Drosophila melanogaster: one gene and its partners. The gene in region 4 interacts genetically with the main gene of each other region. Each region holds a gene or a part of one and is shown on either strand. Other genes may lie near its edges. The genes, in order: lace, pbl, CG3740 and iPLA2-VIA.

What was found.
Region 1: of iPLA2-VIA (region 4) and lace, changing one suppresses a phenotype caused by changing the other (phenotypic suppression), as found in Drosophila melanogaster (one study listed by BioGRID).
Region 2: of iPLA2-VIA (region 4) and pbl, changing one suppresses a phenotype caused by changing the other (phenotypic suppression), as found in Drosophila melanogaster (one study listed by BioGRID).
Region 3: of iPLA2-VIA (region 4) and CG3740, changing one suppresses a phenotype caused by changing the other (phenotypic suppression), as found in Drosophila melanogaster (one study listed by BioGRID).

Annotation. Positions count from the first base shown.
Region 1 is NT_033779.5:15,497,552-15,505,165, reverse strand, and holds lace (lace), read right to left. Parts: upstream 6,040-7,614; 5' UTR 5,946-6,039; coding exon 5,742-5,945; intron 3,050-5,741; coding exon 1,940-3,049; intron 1,876-1,939; coding exon 1,613-1,875; intron 1,468-1,612; coding exon 1,251-1,467; 3' UTR 148-1,250; downstream 1-147.
Region 2 is NT_037436.4:7,908,909-7,913,628, forward strand, and holds the start of pbl (pebble), read right to left. Parts: upstream 3,047-4,720; 5' UTR 2,551-3,046; coding exon 2,514-2,550; intron 431-2,513; coding exon of another isoform or gene 253-430; intron 1-252. Other genes in the region: CG8281 (uncharacterized protein), read left to right, coding at 3,699-4,720.
Region 3 is NC_004354.4:1,667,906-1,671,217, forward strand, and holds CG3740 (uncharacterized protein), read right to left. Parts: upstream 1,393-3,312; 5' UTR 1,105-1,392; coding exon 903-1,104; intron 884-902; exon of another isoform or gene 840-883; coding exon 619-839; 3' UTR 501-618; downstream 1-500. Other genes in the region: dor (deep orange), read left to right, coding at 1-465; hfw (halfway), read left to right, coding at 2,015-2,032, 2,911-3,312.
Region 4 is NT_037436.4:9,859,691-9,866,190, reverse strand, and holds iPLA2-VIA (calcium-independent phospholipase A2 VIA), read left to right. Parts: upstream 1-1,841; 5' UTR 1,842-1,988; coding exon of another isoform or gene 1,989-1,998; exon of another isoform or gene 1,999-2,091; 5' UTR 2,092-2,374; coding exon 2,375-2,414; intron 2,415-2,574; coding exon 2,575-2,870; intron 2,871-2,928; coding exon 2,929-3,228; intron 3,229-3,282; coding exon 3,283-4,100; intron 4,101-4,155; coding exon 4,156-4,796; intron 4,797-4,855; coding exon 4,856-5,191; intron 5,192-5,253; coding exon 5,254-5,486; 3' UTR 5,487-5,974; downstream 5,975-6,500. Other genes in the region: Ciz1 zinc finger protein, read right to left, coding at 793-1,092.

The DNA of each region.
Region 1 (7,614 bases), on a different chromosome or scaffold from region 4:
AGTGTGAAATCGTGTTGGGTAGGAACGATTTGAAAGTCGAACTGTCAATTGATTGCTATTCCTATTACATAAACTTAAATTAACTTGACCCCTTGCAAATGGAGTTTATGTATTTTAAATTAAAGAAAGGAGGCAGTGCAACCAAAATGATACTGAAACAAATTTTATTTATTTTACTTCCAAATCGTCTAAAATAACATATTATCAATATCGATTTAATTGATATCGCTAATCTCTAATTATCGCTTAAAAGTCAGGCATTTACTTAATTAAAAATGGTTCAAGAAGTAGCTTTATTTAATTAATGGCCACTGTACTTCTTATTTTCTCAAAAATAAGAACTAAGGCCCTAGACTTAGCGGATTCTCTACATATGTGTTTTATATTTGCGTCGAGTATCCAACTTCTGTAAATTAACTGTAGAGGTCGCATAAGTTGTGTCAAAATTTATGTAAAATACAAGGCAAAACATTTTTCGACTTTAAGATTCATCTGCCCGCCAAGTTTTATATATTTTAAATAAATATTTACACTAGTAGACTTAAGAATCCCGTACAGTGAATACTTTTACAGTAAGCTATTCCAATATAGTTTATTAGATAAAGCAACAATTTCTTTATTTTTTTGGTGGAAAAATAAGATCAATAATACATAATTATTATACATATATATTTCCTGACAATGCCCTAAAGTTGACCCAATTTTTGGGTCCCCCGAAGACTTACCCAAATAGTGATTTACAATTGTATCGCTGACTCTTTAGACGTTACATTTGGCTCAGCTTAGTATGCTTAATTGGTAGAAGCGAGGTGCTCGAGGCTTTCCCACGAAAAAGGGGCTTCCCTTAGCTTAGCTATAAAAGTAACCAAACCCTGATTTGCCCAATACATTGCGCTGTCATTTTCTCTTCTATAAATACTTAAAATGCAGCAGCCGACCAAAGAAGACGATTGGATTTTACATATACAATAACAACTACGTAGAGGTAAATGCTAAATAATTAATAATATTTTATCATTTAAGCTATGTGCTGTAGTGTTTTGTTTCTGTTGCTGTAGTGATCTTCCCTTTTAAGGCATATAACCAGAGAATTAGTCATAAATAGAAGCCCAGTGCAACTGAAACTTGGTCAATGTAAGCCACCGTTCGTGATTGATTTAGCACTATCTGGACTGTGTTGTAGTTTTGGTTTACCAATCGGGGAGGTTACCATTTCCCCAAGCTTAACTTCTATGTGTGTGCGTGTGATTCTAGTAAATGACGGGATTCGGATCGCGTGGCTTGCGAGAATACTTTAGGCCCAGATCATCGGCAATCTCGTCTATCGCCTCCAGGGCAAAGTCCAGCTGCTCCTTGGTGTGGGCGGCTGAAAGGCAGAATCGGATGCGTCCTTCCATGATGGGTGTGGCCGGGAATCCAGCTCCCACCGCGGCAATGTGGCGAGTCGTCAAGGTGCGAACCACAGCGCTACAAAGAGAAAATGCAGTTTAGTAAAAAGAGACTCCACAGGATAATTGAAGTTTTTTCCCGTTTGATCTTTTAAAAAATGAAATGCTCCTCCACGCACAATCTAATGACAAAAGTTATTTTGGTTTTATGACCCCATTCTTACCCAATCTTGGAAAACAGGTACACCAGCATGGGCACGACTGGGGAGTCCTCGTGACCGTATGTGATCACTCCCAGCTGAGCCAGACGTCGGCGGAAGTAACGTGTGTTCCTGGCCAGCTGGTGGATCTTCTTGCGTCCAATGTCAGTGCCATCTTCACCCATAATGGTCTTCATGGAGGTAAGGATTTGCTGTGCGATGGGTGGCGAGATCGAAGCAGCATAACAATGGGCGTGGCTGTTGGTGCGGAGAAAGTCAATCAGTTTCTGGGGAGGATAAAAGATTATTGATAAGTGAGGAATATGCGAAAGTGTAGCCACTCAAGCATACCTTGGATCCAGCGAGATAGCCTCCAGCACTGCCAAAACTTTTGGTGAAGGTGCCCATCAGAATGTCCACCTCCTTCGGATCCACATTAAAATAATCTGTAACTCCTCGTCCACGGGAACCCATGGCTCCCACGCTGTGAGCTTCATCCAAATACAAGTATGCTTTGTATTTCTTTTTCAGAGCAATAACCTCGGGCAAACGGACTATGGACCCCTCCATGCTGAAGATGCCCTCGACCAAGATCATAACCTTGTCCCATGGCTGACCACCTTTTTTGGGATTTCCATAGCACACACCCTGACGGAGGACGCGCTCCAGATCGCGCATGTTGTTGTGCTTAAAGACCTTGGTGGTGGCCCCGGACAAACGCAGTCCCAAAATGATGGAGGCGTGATTCTTTTCGTCACTAATCACAAGACTGTTGGGTCCCAGCAGTGAGGGAAGGTTCAACGCATTTGTGGCGAAACCCATTCCAAAGACAATGGCATCCTCCACGCCAAAGTATCTGGCAGTTAGAGCCTCCAGCTCTTGCAGCTGCTCGTTGTCACCAAGCTCACAACGGGAGCTGCAGTATGCCAGTCCAGAGCTCCGAGCACTTTCCTCTGAATCATCAGCACACTGTCCAGTAGCGGCGGCAAATCCCAGGTAATTGTAGGATCCCAGATTTAAGCAACGTGTCTCCGTTCCAGTGAACTTGAAACTCCATCCATAATCATCGGTTACGCGATCCTTTAGAGTGAGTTCGTCTCCCGGAACACTGCAGATGGGTCGGTTCCAGCAATCCTTGATTCTCCTGTAAACGTACCTCGAGTAGAAGCTTTCGAAGGCATCGTAGAGGGCTACATAGCCATCCCGACCCTTCTCGGTGGCCACTTTGGGCACGAAGAGCAACTGGTTGATGTAGCCCAGGATCATCAGTAGATAGAATCCCAAATACGTAAGGCAGGCCGTGTGCAAAGGCACCTCCTCAAAGGAGGTTTTCTGGAAGTGCTCCAGCTCCGGCGAAAGTTTGCCCTCTGCCTGGTTGGGCTTGGACTCCTGATCCAGAATGGAGGCATGCCCATTGGGGATCGACTTCTTTTCCGGATGGTAGTTGATCGAGCTGGGACTCTGTAAGAGGGGAGAGGAACGATTATTGGCTGGTTATCGCTATCATTGGTATCACTGTGAATCTTCATAATTTCCATTGAAAATCACTCATCAAAGAGCAAATAATCAATATTGTTAGACGGGCTAGATGGGAAATTGTAAGACAGATTGTAAACATGTTCGCTTCAAAGGGATCAGCACAGTAATACCCATTTATACGAGTATGTATATCAAAACTTATAGTTCTCATGCGTAAACGCTTTTATAAAAAAATGAAAAATTCTACATTCTCACTTGCTTGCCCTTTCTATGCGTTCAGTCAATTCATCAGTCAATTAACATTTAACTAAAAGATCCATATATGCAAGGTACGTATGTACATATATAAATACAATCACACGATAACTGCTGAACAATTTGCTCCACCGCTCACATGAGCCGAGTTCGACATGAAGTCACACAAAAAGAGACAGACACAAAAATCATACAGGGGAAGCCATAAATGTATATAGTATTTGTGTGCCCAACTTGGCACACTTCAACCTCACCAGCTAACAAATAGAGCGTTATAATTAACGTACTTATTTAAGTGTATATATCATTTGCTTATTGATTTTGCTGGCCAAAGGATCCGATACGAGACATATATATATCTCATTAACTGAGCAACACAAACTGCAGATATATATTCCGAAAAATATATATAGTTGAACGTCAGCTTAATCGTATAACAATAACGAGTCGGCGACAATAATATTTCGTGTTTATTATCATTTGCCACCGGGCTTGTTTACTAAATACGATGAGACGGAGTGCGGGGAGCGAAAAGTCAAGTGGGTTACGCGATGCCTAGTTATTTAATGGAGTCCCAGTGTTAGGGTATATAGACGAGCTCGAAGCTACCGTAGAAAGATCAAAATCGAAACCGACATAAATAAATAAATAGAAAAAGTGTAATACTAATTACGCTATGGGTCGCGTACAGAAGGACAGCTAAGTAGGGAGCATGGTGTGGGATCCAGATAATGACTTCCATATGTTGGGGATCCATGGAGTCCAAGATAACGACTGACAATCGACCAGCGCACGCCAAGTTCTAACCGATTTTGTGGGGATTCCAAGAAGTATTAGCTGTGAGTCAGTAGATAATTGCTTTGGCAATTTCATATTCTTAAGTATTTCTTTTTTATTTAAGCCTTTACCTTTGAAATCATGCATACTGTAATCTTGCCGAGCTGATAAAAGTTTTCTATCCGTTGATATTGGAGATATGAGACTTGCACGCGCTAACATTATTTTCGTGTGATTAAAAATTTGAAAAGGTCTTTAGTTGCCATTAAATCAAGCTGAATGATTTCAATAAGTTGTCGCCATGGTACGGAACTATTTCATTAAATAAATTTTATGTAAACCATTGTATTACTTTCCGAAAAAAAGAAATACAAAGCTACCAATAATGAAATCTTTAGGTACTTAAAAGAAAACTAACAATTGCTCACTCCCCAAAGATCGAATTGTATCGGAATTACCCAATGAATGTAATGTTATAATATGTTTATCTTATCTTTTTAAAAAGTTATGAATAATAAAAAATATGATAATCGGTTAAGTATACCCGCCAACAGTTATTCTTTGGCAGCCCAGACGCAGGGAGAGTCCATGAATTTTAAAACAAAACTCTTATCACCGACAAATCAACGCCCACCCAAAACCGCTGCCTTCGGAGATTGCGGAGCATTGTGATTCACCAGCGAATCGCATTCTGCGAGGCTTTACGTAAAAGACTGGTGGAATGGGCCTGATAAGGCGAGCCGGGCATGGCGTGGCATGACAATATTATGACCAGACCAGCATTGTGCCGCTCTCCCCACACACATTGTGCACCCAAACTACGTACTTATGTGTGTGTTTGCTTTGGGGTCGTACTCCAGTCACTAGGAAAATTTCGAATGAGTGCAGGAGTGCCGAAGAAGAGACAATGGCTAGATTAGAGAGTGCATGTGGTAAAATGGACTAGCGTACCAAACAGTTTAACGCACATCTAAAATAGGTATTATGAAATTTCTGAAATCTAAGTTACTTTAACATGCTGATGTTCTTATCTTAGGGCTTAGTCAATTGTAAGATAGCTATCTCAGAGGAATGTATAGACTACTTAAAATTATAATAATGAAAGTGAAATAATATTGCCCAATACTTTAATTTCCAACACTACAAATTGCCTTTCATGATCACAATTTATGAAATAACTCTCTGATCGTATATGATGATAGGATATTTCCGCAGAGTTCTAATAGTTTCTATCATCCGGAAGTAGCCAAAATACGCCAAATGGTCAGCACTCGCGGCGAAAAGGAAAACACGCGAGGAAAACACTGCAGTGGAGGGAAAACAGCTGTGGCTGCCCGATGACCCAGAAGCGGGAAAAGCGGAGGAAAATCGCCAAAAAGGGCAGCAAAAATTGGGCCGAAATTCTCCAGCTGACGCACGCCTTCACTCTCACTCTCTCTCCCTCTCTCTTATGCGCGCTCCCTCGCTCTCACACAAAATCAATAATTCGCCGGCTGGAAGAGCGAGCGAGAGGGTGAATGGAACCAGCTATGGAACCACATTTTTGGCCAATTTTTATGGCCTTTTAGCTCGTTATTTTCGTTTCGTCCAAGTGTTTAACTCGCGTTTCACCCCGCACACTGAGCGAAAATGCCTGGCTCACCTGGGCGTCGTTTGCGGGCTTCGGCTGGCAGCGTCGCGTGCGAATTTCAGTGTACGCGGGTGCCGAGAACTTCCGGAGAAGTTCCTGTTTTTCCGGGGCACTGAGATCTGCCGCCCCATTGCCATTCGGCACCTTTCCGTTTCCGTTGGTCGTCGCATAGCTCTGCTCGAAAACCGTTCCAGAATCGCCGTCGAAATTGCCCATTATTCCGTTGCCGATTTCCGATTACTCAGCGGACAAAAAATTACGGAGAGATCGATGCGTTTTGCTTAAATAGGTTTCTTTCTAATTGGAATGGTGTGGCCAGTTACTCGGCCAGCTGTTATACTGAAAACTGCGCGCCTTCGGTATTTTAAGGTACTTATCGTATTTTCACATATAATTTAAAAGGCCACATTTTGTGGAATAACGCTTCCGGTTGTGTTCTCTGCTTTTAGTACTGCCAGCTCCTAGCGAATACCTCCACCATGCAAGCAGTTCAAGCCACAGTGCTGTTTAGTATACTTTCTGAGCGCCAGATGTCGCAAAAGAGAAGTAGATTTTTGTATTAATTAGATTTTCAAAGAAATTTATTTAAACTAAAATGGTTTCTATTTTAGTCACATAGGGGTTCAACTTAAATTATTTGACAGCAATTTAATGAAAATATATAAATTTATATATGATACGAGGGTTCAACAATGTATCATTTAAGTGGGAGATAAGCTAAAAAAAATAATGTTTTATATTCCATTACATATTAGAAACCACAAGTTTTCAGACTTAACACGTCAAGCATTTTCCCCTTGAGCATTAAAATCGGTCCAAAACTTACGCAAAGAAAAATTCCGCCTCGCCGGCAATAATAAATTAGATTAAAATGCACAAAGAAAAGGAGGAAAACAGAATTTCAGGCAACAGATATTCAGATAAAAGTGCGTAAAGCGGCAATTGTAGTAAAATTCATGAGCTGCGAAGTGCGTTGACTCTTTGCCGCAAGGAGACACGTCTCGGGCAGTGGATTTCGCCTCATAAATAGATCATCTCCATACCGCAGGCTTTTGTTTTTCTTCACATTTTATTGCGGAAGAATTTCGACTATTTTGTAAATTAATCTGCTGTGGCCGGCCGATGACACTTTTCAAGGATTTTCAGAGCCCATTTCAAAATCAAAACATTGAACTCGCATTTCAGTTTCGTTTTCAGTATGCGCCGCATCCCAACTGTGGGTAAACAACATGAAAACGACGCTAAGGCTTCTAATTGAGTTGGAAGCTTTTGTGGCAGATGTAGCCTCTGCAAAATGCCAACACGTTCCCCGGCAAAAGCTGCACCGATCGCTACATCGATATGCAAATGATTGCCAAATTGTCGTAGCCGGAGATGCCAAAAATTTGAAACCCAATCTGAGTCCAAGTCACCAAAGTGGGTGCTACTGTCAGGGCTGAAGCCCTTTGAGCCGCAGGCCCAGAAAGCGGGTCACGTCGGGTTTTCATCCAGCGATTGCCGATCGACGCCAGCGGCACCCTGAAGGCAAAAGTTTCCGCCGATGCCAGAGGGAAAATCACATACCCTTTTCGAGAAGGTTTCATTTATTTCTCAAAGCACTTAATCAAGGATGAGGATATTCTAAAATATAGCATATATTATTACTTGGTCTATTTTAGTAACATGTAAATATTGTATAATAAATTAAATAGGATTTTTATATTCCACTTGACAATCTCATGACATTGAAAGTATATAATGTAAAGTTGAAAATTTCATGAATTTGTTGACTTCGATCATTATTACTTATTTCTATATTTTGCACTTCTATGCCAAGTTAATCCCTAAAACGGAGAAAAATGCATTGTATCTCAAAGCTAGCCAATTTCTGTCAAAGATTCTTAAT
Region 2 (4,720 bases), 2.0 Mb from region 4:
TATCACCTTAACATGACATCGAATGCTTTCCTCGGAAAGTAATATATTTATTTATGAAATACATAGTTATTTTTACTGTTCCTGCACCTTTCCCAGGTGTTTGTCGATGGTCTGGCTGAATGGATGGATGATTCACGAAAGACTTTACCCTACTTAAGTTTCCCTCTGGCGAATATGTTGCTCTTGCTTTTGCGCATATTCAACCCTTGGAAACGAGTACCTGAAGGGGTTTATCTGGGAATCTTGAAATACCTGTAAAATCCTCGTACACCTGACACAAGGCGGCCTGTCGAAGCTTCGCCTGTTTGACCTCCTCGTCGGCGGCATATGTGAAATAGGAGGCGGATTGTCGCTGAACCGTGACCACTTTGTTGCTCTTTTTGCCCAAATGGTTGCCAAAGTTGAACTGCACCAGCGGTAAGTGTAACATTTTGTTCGCAGATCCTCAAGGATCGGGCTCTAAAACATAACTAAATGCAAGACGAGCTCAGGCTGAGGGAACACCTGAAATCGCATTTTGCATGGCCACAGGTGGTAGCTTCTTCGGTTCAAACAAGAAGAAGAAGGTATGTAAGTGAGGTCAGGAGAAAAGGTAAACGCAAAATGGTAAGCAAAATTTCCGAGTGTGAGAAAGTGCCGAGACTCACAGGTGGCGGCCACCATTTTTCGCCATTCGGGAATTTCCTTCCTTTTTGCCCGAACAAAATCCGCTGTTGTTATTTATTTTCTACTTTTCCTCGCTGGCTGCCTGCCAGGGAAACGATGAAAAACTAATTGAGTGGCATCTGAGAAATGAAAAGCCATCGGAAGAAGAGGGCTGTGTGTGTGGGTTTCTGGGCATTCAGCCACGCAGCGAAAAATGTCCTATGCGAAATCATAGTTAACCCAAAATGACAATTTTTGATTTTTACTTAAATTCTCGTGTCTATTGCTTTTGACCTAGACCTAAAAGCATTTTTAAGTGACAATGAAATCCAAAAATAAAATATTTTATGTAAAAAAATTGTGTTTTAAACGAAAGACGTTTTGTAATTTTGGAATAATATTTAGAAAATTACTTTAAATCTCTAGAAAAAAAAACCTCAGTTTACCTGCAAGTTTAAATTATACATAAAATCAACCAATTTCTCGCTGTGTAGCGGATTTTGTCAAATAGCAGAGCAGAGTCATCAAAGAAAAATCTTGTAATAAAATTACGTACGTATCCCGCGGAAGCCTTGACGTAGGCGAAGAGCAGATTCCGAAGGTCTGCGGGCCATGTAAAATGCCATTAGCATTGAGGGACGGAAAACACGGACTACAGGCTATATAGTCATAGTTGTATGGGCATGTGCGCCCTGTCAACATGTGTAAATGGAATACGAGGTAATCGGCCAGCGGGGTAGGTAAACCACCCGGAAAGCAAGGATCAAGGATTCTGTGCAACAAGAGGAGGAAGTAGAAGGAGCGAAGAGCCTGTCGAGCAGGATAAATTCTTCTTCTTACCTGGCGGCAAGTATTAGAGCGGAGCAGACAGAATAAGTACACAAAGATATCATGTAGAGTTGATTTCAAAAGTATCTACATACATATGCACATTTAAAGGCTAAATAACATCAAAGGAGAATTGATTTTATAACCTAACCAAATTATAAACTTTTAATTGATATATGCTTTATTTGCGCCTCAAATTCGGACACAAAATACATTAAATGATAATTTTATTTGTTTATGCCGCGCGCTGGAAAAATTCCTGCCGTACAACATATTTACACGTATTTTTTAAGGCAATAACCTTTGAAATTGTGTGGTATTTGCAGTTACACGTTCTCGTTGCGGAAATCGTAGGCTTATGGAAAGTATAACAATTTTAATTGCCTAGAAACAATTTTGTTTTTAGTTAAATAAAAATGTTAAAAATATAATAAAAACTTTATAGCAGAGATTTCTCTTTCCCATCAATACCTAAATCTATCTTTTGTTAATTGTTTACTTTTTTAAGATTCGATAGTTTCTTGTTTACTTTCTTTTATAGCTACAACTCCATGGCTAAAAACGGCTGAATTCGCATCAATGATAACAGGAACTGATCGCTTAAATTGTTGTTGCTTGTCCTTTCTTTTTACTCTCACAACAGTTAGGGCGCCTCAGTTGTTGTTGTTGTTCTTGCTGTCGGTACAGTGTCGCCGAAGAGAGGGAGAGTGAGGGGAAACGATGATGAAGAGAGGGAGGCATTTCGCATTTATGCGATAAATATTTTCTACACCGAAATAAATTCAGAAAAAAAGATTAAAATATCTGCGACACGATGCCGTTGCTTTTTTAGTCACACAAATACACACAAAGATGTACTTATAGTCGTTGTTATTTCATTTTATTTTTTTGCATTTGCTGGCAGCGACATTTTTTATGAGGATCTTTTGGCCCCGAATGTGGTTTTACCCCGTACCCAACCCCTTTGGGCGACATTGAAAAATGATAAATTCGCCGGCCATTTGGAGCTGCCACGCCCCGCGCCCTCTTTCAGTACTCACCGCACTTCGATTGCTCTTCAATGGTCTCCATTTCCATGGATCTTCTGCAGTTACTTTTTTAAGGCGAACAACTCGTGGAACATACACAAAAACACACACCAACAGAACTCGAAACACAATAGAACGAACGCACAAGGAGACAAATAATTCGTTTGTACTCGATTCGTTTACTTTCATTAACTGGACGCTGTTTTCATGCATTTAGCGCGCATCATTTCCATGTTTGTTTGTTTTTCTACTTTTTGTTACAATTTATTTATTATTTAATTAAAAAGCGGCGGCTCACGAAAACACACACACACAGACGCGCATAGGCAGCGTCGCCCGGTTCTTCGTCCTCTTGTTAGCGATACCGCGTACCTGCTTTAGCAATTTAACCAACAAAATGATCAACAATGTAAGCGAATTGCGCTCAACGGCTGCGCGTCGGAATCACAAATCAAAACTCAACGGACAAACGCGTCTGTTTCGAATTTTTTTCGCTGTAGTGTGCCGCGCAGTGTAACCGTCGCGGGGGCGCCAAGAAATACGCGCAAATGTGATGAACGAAATACCAGAATCAATCGGCGCTAAATAATGGTCACACTTGCAAGGGGTTGAAGGTATTCCCTGTAATGCTATATAACTAAATTAAACGACTATGGCTATAAAATAGTTGTAAGCTGCACTATATTAACAATCAATTAGAACTGTTTTCTTCGTTTAAGTTGTTTTTGGCCTGTCGATAAATTAAATTTGGTAATATCCTACTATTGTTGCAGTTGTAGCCTCCAATCATATTTTTCATGCAAGCTATATAAGCTACAGTTAATTTTATGTATGCTTGCTCATATATTTAATAAATGAATGCCTAAAACTACTTGCTTTTGTGCTACTTTGTTTAAATATACGCGCTTGATAACAACGAGTTGACCGATAAATACTGCTGGCGAAGTATCGATACCAGTGACAAGCATTGCCACTACGTCCGCACTTGTTGCTGTATCTTCACGCTCACGCACACTCGCACACAACCATTACGTCAATATGGCAAACAATCTGTCAAACGCGCAATTACAACAAACACAGTTCGTTCGCATTGACAGTTGGTCAATAGGTCCATCCAGGATTCGCTGAAGTGGTGAAGATAGCCAAGGACTGCAGCTGGCGTGGATTGGCAGAGGGTAATCCAGAGATCCGCGCAAAATGCTGCCACAAACGCCGCCGCACGGATTGAAGGTGATGTCGGGAGCGGAGGAGAACCGACACTATCTGCGCGCCTTCATCCAGACATACAGGGATCTGCCCGTGCTGTGGGACACATCGCTGCGGGACTACACCAATCGGGAGAAGCGGGCGGAGGCCTATTTGCGCCTGGTGCCCATATACCATTATCTCAAGCGGGACGCCACCGTGGAGGATGTGAAAAAGAAGATCAACACACTGCGCACGAACTACCGCAAGGAGCTGAAGGTGGTGGAGAGTGCCCTGCGATCGGGCAGCCTCCACAGTCCACGCTGCTGGACCTTTCAGGAGCTGGACTTTCTGCGCAACTCGGAGAAGTTTCTAGCCGTCAATCCCGCCTTTAAGAACGAGCCCAACTTCGCCTTCGGTGAGAGCAGCAATTGCCCGAGTGCGTTTCTGGAGAGCCAGGGAGCAGCCCTCCATTATCCAGCACCACGCGCTGGTGGTCAGACGCCCAACATTTCCGAGATGTTTCACAAATCATTTGGAGCTCCGCCACCGCCACCGCCAGCAACCAACCATGTGGATTATGGGAGCAGCAAGCGAGCCAGGCAAACGCCGCCATGTACGGGAGCAGGAGCCGGATCTACTGGCGGTCCTGGGGCAACAGGCACCGCCCACAACACCGACGAACTACTCAACATAGCCTGCGAGTATTTGGCTGGCACATATCCGGAGGAGGAGTCCATCGCCCGCACCTGGACGCACAAACTGAAGCGACTGCCGCGCGAGCAGCGTCTTCTGGCCGAACGTTTCATCAACGAGATTCTCTTCGAGGCCGAGTCCAACAATCTGCATCGCGGATCTGTGCAAATCAACAACAGCTTCGAACCCTACGTTCGCTACGAAGAAACGCCAAATGGTCACGAGGAGCAGGACAAATCACAGAGCCCCAGTGTGCACACCTCCAGCGAATCCAAGCCCAATGTGTCGGGAGCGAGCGGAAGCGGGGGAGGAGGTGGGCCACCGGGCAGCACCACCAC
Region 3 (3,312 bases), on a different chromosome or scaffold from region 4:
CAGGAGCTGCAGCGTGAAATGGCCGAGACTACGGAGCAAACCGATCGCGTCACCGCCGAGTTGCAGCAATTGCGCCAGCACAGCCTCACCGTTGAGTCTCAGGATACTTGCGAAATTTGCGAGATGATGCTGCTGGTTAAGCCCTTTTTCATCTTCATCTGCGGCCACAAGTTCCACAGCGATTGCCTGGAGAAGCACGTTGTGCCCTTGCTCACCAAGGAGCAATGTCGGCGCCTCGGCACTCTAAAGCAGCAACTGGAGGCGGAGGTGCAAACGCAGGCGCAACCGCAGTCAGGTGCCCTGAGCAAACAGCAGGCGATGGAGCTGCAGCGGAAGAGGGCGGCACTGAAAACCGAGATCGAGGATATTCTTGCTGCGGATTGCCTATTCTGCGGGCTGCTAATCAGCACCATCGACCAGCCGTTCGTTGACGACTGGGAGCAGGTGAATGTCGAGTGGGAGTAGTTCGCTACCACCGTCGTTCAGACCCAAATATTTATGTACATATAAAGTATTTATTATTATAAATAAACCTACACTGATCACAAAGGTTTCGACTGAGATAGCCGTCCAAATTCTACAGTTACCTGGCCATCGCCCACTTGCCCGCAGAGCAGGTCAGTCCACAATCTGCATGCGCAACTCGTTGGTCACGAATGACATGACAGTGTTAAGCACAGCCTGCTGAATGGAGGCGTTCTGGACAATCAGCGGCAGCAGCATCACCACGTCGGTGGGATGTATGTCGGCCACGGCCATGGTTACGTGCTGCACCAGCTGCTCTCGCTGTGCGTCCGTCAGGTCGTTTAGGATGACTTCGCCCAGCGGACGGAATGTGCCTGTTCGGGAGGAGGGAAGTGGAAATGTAGTGAGACTGAGTACGGGAGTTCTCCTCCGCTTACCGCTTGTCATCTTGTAGGCGGCGATTCCGCCGGCGGCCCCGCCAACCGCCAGCCCAACGGGGCCCAGGAGCATGCCACCCGCAAAGGAGCAGGCGGCGCAGATTGCCGCTCCCTTGCCGGACTGCTTGACGGCGACGCGGACGTTGCGCTCGTCCGCTACGATGGCTATCGCCTCCATCAACTCGCGCGTATCTATGGGCATATTTAGGCTACGTGGAGTTGGCCCGAATTTCGCAACGCTATGCTAGTATTTCCTGTTTAGACTTTGTTCCGTGCGGCAGTATGACGTTTCCGATTACGCCACCCGTTCCGTTTGTATCCTGCCTTTTAGTGTTGGTCTTGAATTCTCCAACTTGCTACTCGACAACATAAACAATTTCACGGAATCCGCTTGAAGGGAACTATTAAAAAGCTTATATTTGACTTAAAAAACAGCAACTTGATTAAACTTGTGAGCGCCAGATTCAGAGATGCGCAAACGGCGGTCACAATCGACGTTTATATCGATATATGGCCTTAACCCTTATGTGTTAACCCATTCCTGTTATGGGTCATACATTAAATTTCTTATATTAATCCTATAGGTTATTACTGTCCTGTTGCTAAGTTAAAGATGAACAATAAATTAAATATATATGTGTTTATTATATAAATTGATTCAACGGATTACGTTTGCCAACTATCGAATCGCAGTGCAAACGATGTCACTGTATCGATAAGTCGATTGCCCGCGGCGAACAGAGCATTTAACATCAGACTTAACAGCGAGTGCTCTGCTGCGCTGCGCGCACTTAACATTTGCATTTTGTTTTGTTCGTAGTTTATCAATTCGAGTCGAGATACTTTTGTGTTTCACCTACGTATCACACCCGACCGATTCTTCCCATGCACGGATCTGTGGCAGATCACCTGGCGGACCGAACGAGCCTGCAGAACCGCCCAGAAAGTAGCTCCTCTCCGCTGGGACTGGGATGTGCGCAAAGCATTTAAATTGTGAACACTTCCGTATGATTGCGATTCCTCGGATGTGGATGACCGCTCCGTTCCCGCGCCACCTAGTCGAGGAGTAAACCTGCCAGGGAGCACCTAGTGGAATTCATTTCGGAGGCGACATGCTCGCGTACACCCACGTAAGTCCAATGCGCATGCAGCTCTGCTAGTGTATGGGTGTACCTGTAGCAGGAGGGGTAGGGGTATGGACATGGGCATGCCGATACTGATATTGTGTTTATAATCTCGAAAGCACTCTAAATTGCTCCGAGGGAGGGGTGCTGCTAGTGAGGTTATACTACCCATGGCTCTATATTTTATACCACACCCAGTTATTATACTCATACAGCATAGGTATTTCTCATATTGTAGTTGTGAAAAGAAGCGCATTTGCCTTGAAATCAGAGGCCATCTTTAGTTAATCCTCGTATCCTCACACGCTATGGAACATTTAAGCCAAAAAGGAAATGTTTTCCATACCAAACCTATTATTGGCCTATGGTAATACCAAACTGTTATGCTGTTTTGACCAGCCAAAGATCTGGAAATAGCCCCCTTCCACTTCCACTCCATGCCGAAGCCGACAATTTGCCACCAACCGACACCGACCCGCCCACAATTGCTGCCTAACACAATTAATCTTTTTATTGCCCTTTTATCACATACGATTCGTTAATTAATTGCCGAATTAGCATGGCAGTGTTGTTGGCAGTTGGCCCGCAAGACGCTAAATCGAGTGGGCAAACAATTAGAAACCAGTTGGATACCGAAGACCCTCCCGACTCCCAGAGCCGCAGGCCCAGCAACTTATGCGTACAGGGTGTGCCTCACTTACCCTAATTACGGCAATTGGAGGACGAGCCAGGCCAAGCCCTCGTCGGTCTAATTCGATTTGCAAACAAACGCGTCTGGTGTAGCAAATATTTGCATATGTATGTCCAACGTGCGACACGGCGTTTTTCCCATTTCCCCACTCGATTCGCTTTAACGCGCCCTTTGATTGTCGTTGTCGTTGCAGGGCACATGGCTCCTGCTCCTGCTGCTCCTTGTAGCAGGCGCATGCGCGCGGCCAGAAATAGCACACACACCGGATCCGGCTGCACTAGGCGAGGAGTCTACTCCACATGCACACGCACATCCACAGGCTCGCCATCATCACCATGCCCATCCCCATGCGCCGCTGAAGGAAGATGAGCAGGGAACAGCAATACCTGCTCCCATCCTAACAACTGATAACGTGGGCATTGGGGAAACCACGACGGCATCAAGTTTGGCCGAGACGCAAAGCATGTCCGATCCGGGATCTGTGACAGACACAACATCCACAAGCACATCGCACTCCACCTCGACCACGTCGACCACTTCGCCCGCACCCCTTCCGCCGGCTGCTCCCGAACAGCCCGAGTATCTGAAGCACTGC
Region 4 (6,500 bases):
TATATATGTAATATGTAACAATTGATCAAAGAGGTAAAAGGTAAAAGAAAACAAAAAAAAGACCGCCAAATATACTCAAGCGTATTTGCCACTGAAAAATATTAAATTAACATCAAACGTATATTTCAAATACTATAATCATTCTTATCTATTTTTTCCACAGAAATAAGTGTGCCGTTTATAAGTACGCACCTGTTCGTAGAATATATACTTTTAAGGTTGAATATAATATATTTATATATATATATTGAATAGTTTTTCATTTGCTTTGCATGTGGAAAAGACGTCAATTCGATATAATCTCTCTTTCTGTCAGATGTATAATTAGGAAAGATAAGTAGTCATCCAATAAGTGTTTACTAGCTTGACCAGAATGTCTGTTATTATCAATTACAAAAGTTGATTGTAAAAGGTTCTTATCTCTGATTTTTCACATGCATTGGTATTCGTCTTATTTACATATAGTGCCAAAAATCTTTTCGCATCCAAATATTACCTACAGTTTCTTATCTCCTTTGGGAGATAATAAGAGGCTGAATGATCAGCATTGCAAAAAAATCGTATCAATATATGTACGTGTTATAAGCGATATCCCTCTATTTTCAGATACACAATGTAGAAAAACCAATGTCAAGGTGGTCTAACTATTATAATTTCAATTTCTACCCTGTCATTATAATCCAAATTGAAATTAATTAGAATGCAGAACAAATCTGGGCATATTTCTGAAGCTATCGTAGTAATTACTCACAAATGGTTACTTATAGGTTAGTGCGAAGTGCTCCAACTTACATAGCTGCGCTTGTGGCTCGAGGAGCTGGACTCGTAGCGCCCGCTGCTCGAGTTGTGGTGAGTGAACTTGTCCCGACTCCTGTTGTCGTAGTGGCTGTTGCCTCCTGCTCCTCCGCCGCTGTTGTTGTGGTTGTTGTAGCGATTGTTGTTGTTGTGATAGTTATTCTCGTAGCGGCCATTATTGGGTCGGTAATTGCCCTGGGTGCGAGTATTAACGTAGTTGCTGGAATTGCGATTATTGTAGTAGCCACCGCGAGTGGTGCCACCACCACGTGGAATGAATCCGCCGCGTCCACGCATCTTTAATTCCAATCTCTTCCTGTTTGCAGCACAAGGAAATACTGTAAGGTTGCGTTGAAAAGATTACAAAATTCGATCCGCATGGCAGACTATATACATGTATGCACAAATGCGTGCAAAATATACATAAGGACAGACTGAGCGTTCAGCGCAGCACCCCTTAAGTTTTTTTTTCTTTTCATGGATTATCTCTGCGCCGCCGGTGGCGTCGCTCGGTTTGAGAAAAAAAGAATCGATTTTCTGCCGGCCCGAGAATTTTTTTGCGATTTTACTGCAAATTGATCTAAGCCACTTACCTCTGCTCTAACACTATTCACTAATGGGCACAATGAAGCACTGCTTTTCTGTCTGTTTTTCAGTTTTAACTGAACGTTTAACTTCTGATTTTCACCTTTTCTATCAGCTACTTTTTTCGCTCGAAACAATTTTTTGTCTAGCAATGGCGAACAAAGTGAAGTGTGACCGTGCTCTGTGGAATCAGTGCTTAAAATCGATTGTTAAGACTTGGCTATATCGATTGTCAACAATGTGGCAATGCTATTTAGCTGAAATAACATTATTAATAACATAATAACATAATAACGAAATAAAAGAAAATTTCTTTGCTTTCTTCAAATATTCTCGAAAACTATGTAAATTTAATTTAATTTCTTAAACAACATTTCTTTAATGAAATCGAATTTGTATCATTTATTTGCAAGCCCCTACCATTGGGGGTTTGAACTCGACTAGAAAGTCTAGAAATATCGTTTGATGCAGTACCATCACTGATAAACGGTGACATCGCTAATAAAGCTGCAAAAAATACAGCTCAGTTCTTATTTTACATAGCAGAAATTTTAAATTGTTTTATACTGGAATTGTGCGATAAGGAAACCTGAAATCAGAGCAGTAAAATGTTCAATGGTTAGCTAATACTGTTGCCAATAAAAAAAATCGCAAACTGACCCACAGAACAATAAGCATTTTATGATTGTCACCATTGATTACGTCGGGCAGCAACGGATAGCGGGAAGGCACGAAAAAACGGGCAGCATTACTGCAATGTAGAGCCATCGGATGATCTGTTCCCTTCCCATTGGCCAAAGATGTGTACTATTGATTTCTTGGCAGCCCATCGAACCACTCGCTCATCCTCACCCACACCCGTGTAACTAACCAACTGGCCATTGTTTTTCTGTCAGGCTCACCGCATCCACATTAGCCAGCTCATCCGATCAGATTGGCCCAGTTCAAAGTACACATTCAGCATCCGCAGCAGCAAATTCCGCACCCTTGAGTCATGGCGTGGATGGCGTTAGGGGCACTAGCCTCCGGTTTCGGTATTCACCCCCCTTTCAATCATTACTGCTCTTCCTCCTCCTGTTCATGTTCATGTCGTGTCACCGTTTAGTAGACTAGTTGAGAATGTATTAATGTGTCTTATGACCAACGCATTCGCCTTATCTAATGACATTGCCTTTCAATTTTGTACGACTACAGTTCTACAGCGCCTGCTGGGTGTCGATCAGCCGGCCAATAAGGTCGTGGAAATTAAGAGCGAAGCGCTGGGGACACTTCAAGTCCTGGCCCGCGATGACGCCATGCTCCTCTTTGCACCGCCCTTCAACAGCAGCAATGAAAAACGAGCCGTCTATGAGATCATTTTGCAGCGACCCACCTCGGATTCCAATACCACATCCTTCAGTCTGTACCGGTCGCCGGTGCAGCAGGAAGCCGAGGAACGCTTCAATGCCTTTCTGCAAAGGCTGCCCGTTTTCGTCAGCATTGTGAAAGAGGTTTGAGAGAGGACTACAAAGCAATGCGAAGCAATGTATTTAACTCTATATTTTTCAGTACTACAATGTAAATGGGCTGCAGAAAGCTTGCGATGCCTTGGCTGATAATCCCTCCTGGACGCTGTCCCATTTGATTGCCTACTTCAATCTGGTGGACTACATTAGCAATCCCAAGATGCTCCAGTGCGTGGACCAAGCAGATGCCGCCACCCTAATGTCGCCCTTCCAGTTGGCCATCAAACAGGGTCACATGGAGATGGTGAAGGCTCTGCTGCCGCTGAGCAAGCTGGAACACTTGGATATAAACAGCAATTCGGTGTTTCATTACGCCGCCAGCACCACCAAAGAGATTATCAATGTAAGCCAGAAATCCATATATAGTTCAAACAAATTTTAAACTTTATTTTCCCAGCTTATCATCGATAAAAGCACGGTAAATCTGAATCATCTCAACTCCGATGGGTACACACCACTTCATGTCGCCTGCCTCGCCGACAAGCCAGAGAATGTGAAGGCACTGTTGCTGGCTGGGGCCAATGTCAATCTCAATGCCAAGGACATCCGCAAAGTGTACAAGACATCCGCACCGACCACGGTTTCCTCGTTTCTGCGCACCAATGTTAGCAAGCTGTACACACAGGACATGAAATATGGCGGCACTCCTCTGCACTGGTGTTCCTCCCGTGAAACCCTGCATGCGCTGATCATGGAGGGTTGTGATGTCAACGCCACGAACTTTGATGGACGGACAGCACTGCACGTGATGGTGGCCAGGAATCGGTTCGAGTGCGTTGTCACACTACTGGCCCACGATGCGGAGATCGATGTGCTGGACAAAGACGGAAATGCAGCTTTGCACATTGCCATTGAGAAGAAACTAGTGCCGATCGTCCAATGTCTGGTGGTCTTTGGGTGTGACATCAATCTGAAGAACAAGGATGGCAAAACGCCACGTCACATGGTTGGCAATGATGCTAGTGGCAATAAGGATGATGAAATCCTATACATTCTGCACTCTGTGGGGGCTAAGCGCTGCAAGGATACTGGTTCAAAGTGCCCGCCTGGTTGCAATGCCAAAGGTAACTACAACGGCATTCCGCCAGAGGCACCGGAATCCGTGGAGCAGCGCGAGCATATAGAGCACATGCTGGCCACCACCAGTCGACAAATGATGGGTGGTTTTTTGAACGCAGCGGCCAATGGAATATTGGAGAAGCAACAACCGGCACAGTATGTAAATCAACTATTCGTGAACTACAATTAAAATAGTCTTCTCTTATTCCAGAAAACCAGTCGTGGTCGATACGGAGAAAGAATTAAAAGGCCAAAGTATAATGGATGCCCTGCTTGGCATGTTTACAACCAAAGTGAATGCGGACGAGATGAAGAAGGAGAACTCGTCGGATAGTTTGGCCAGTGGCTCGCAAAAATCCGCTGTGTCTAGTCCGGAGCAGCTGCCTTCACCCACCTCGCCCATTGCCGCTGAAATAGGCGATAAACCCTACGGACGCGGACGTCTGCTCTGCTTGGATGGTGGTGGCATTCGTGGTCTAGTCCTGGTACAGATGCTACTCGAAATAGAAAAGCTTTCTCGCACTCCTATTATCCATATGTTCGACTGGATTGCCGGCACCAGTACTGGCGGAATTCTAGCTTTGGCGCTGGGTTGCGGCAAAACGATGCGTCAATGCATGGGCCTCTATTTGCGCATGAAGGAGCAGTGTTTTGTGGGCTCACGGCCCTATAACAGCGAGTTTTTCGAGTCCATTTTGAAGGACAATCTGGGCGAGTTTAACGTGATGACGGATATTAAGCACCCGAAGATCATGGTCACTGGTGTGATGGCGGATCGCAAGCCGGTCGATCTACATCTATTCCGCAACTATACGAGCGCCAGTGACATTTTGGGCATTGTGACTCCAATTAGTAAGTGAGATATCAACCAATTATCGAGATAGCTCTCTAATTTTATTTTAATCTTTTAGACAACCGAAGAATTCCTCCTCCTCAGCCTTCGGAACAATTGGTATGGCGTGCTGCTCGGGCTACTGGAGCTGCGCCCTCATATTTCCGCGCATTTGGTCGCTTTCTGGACGGCGGCTTGATTGCCAACAACCCGACTCTAGACGCCATGACCGAGATTCACGAGTACAATATGGCCTTGCGTAGCGCTGGACGCGAATCAGAGGCCATACCTGTATCCGTGGTGATGTCGCTGGGCACGGGTCATATTCCGGTGACTGAACTTAAGGACATTGATGTCTTCCGGCCGGAGAGCATCTGGGATACGGCCAAACTGGCCTACGGAATCTCTACCATTGGTAAGGCACCTTATCTATAATATACTCGTGTGCTTTCTTAATCAAATGCATATCCTTGCTAGGCAATCTGCTAGTGGACCAGGCCACCTGCTCCGATGGAAGAGTAGTGGACAGAGCTCGCGCCTGGTGCAGCACGATTGGCATACCCTACTTCAGGTTCAATCCTCAGCTGAGCGAGGACATCGCCATGGACGAAAAGGACGACCAAAAACTGATCAATATGCTGTGGCACACTAAGGCGTATATGCACGCCAATCGGAATAAGATAATCGAGATGATCAATTTCCTAAAATAGCATGCAAGACGGATTTAGACCGCATTTGCTGTAGAGATCTCTCATTCGAGGGATCCTTTCGATTCATGTCCGTGTACTTTAGACTCGTTTAACCCTCTTCGTTTTTATTAAGCACCTTTTCTGAGGTCTAAATCAGCTCACTCGCTGGGACTTCCACTCTCAATAGCACCGATATCCTCCCACCACTTGGCTACAAAACAGAATCTGTGTGATTATCCTTAATTTTTCCAATTCCGAGGCTTCATCTCCAGGATTAGCAAACGAAATACGCTTTGTATATTGTGTTATTGGACTTAAGAGGGTACCATATCAGCACATTAATTTCGAAAATCTTTTATTTAATGTATTATAATCGGCCATGTATTTTATTGTACGTAACCCTCCAATTGAGTCGTTTAATTGATAAAAACATTCCGTGCCTCTGTTAGAAAATGAATGTGTATGTAGTATGTCGAGCACGAATTTTGAATAAAACTTTTTAAGTGTTTAAACCTGTTTTTAATGAATTCCCATTAAAATAGTTGTAGTACTGGTCCAGAAGCTAACATACATTAAATTATAGATCTTGAGATTGCAGGTTATAAGATTAATTGGTTTAATTACTTAATGGGTTTAGTTGTTGAATACTAAATTTAACTTCATGGCAGAGAAATGAAAAGCTGAAAACATTAAAATATTTTTTTAAGACTACAATACTGGATGTTAAAAAATGTTATAATTGTTTTTTAAAATATTTTTATGTTTAAATATTTAGCCTACCAGGGCTGGCTAATCGCGATAGTGTCCTCGCCAGAAGTTCCATTCTTCCAATCGATAGCTAGCACACTAGACATATGTATGTATCGATAGGCCAAAACAAATACAAACAATACAGACGAGCCAAGAATTTTTGCTCTGCGTCCCAACACATAAAAATCCATAACAAAGTGAGTCAAAGTGTTTTAAAACGAGGACTACGAACGCAATAGATGAAGATAAACCATTGCAGATCAAGATTAATACGCTCAGGGACGG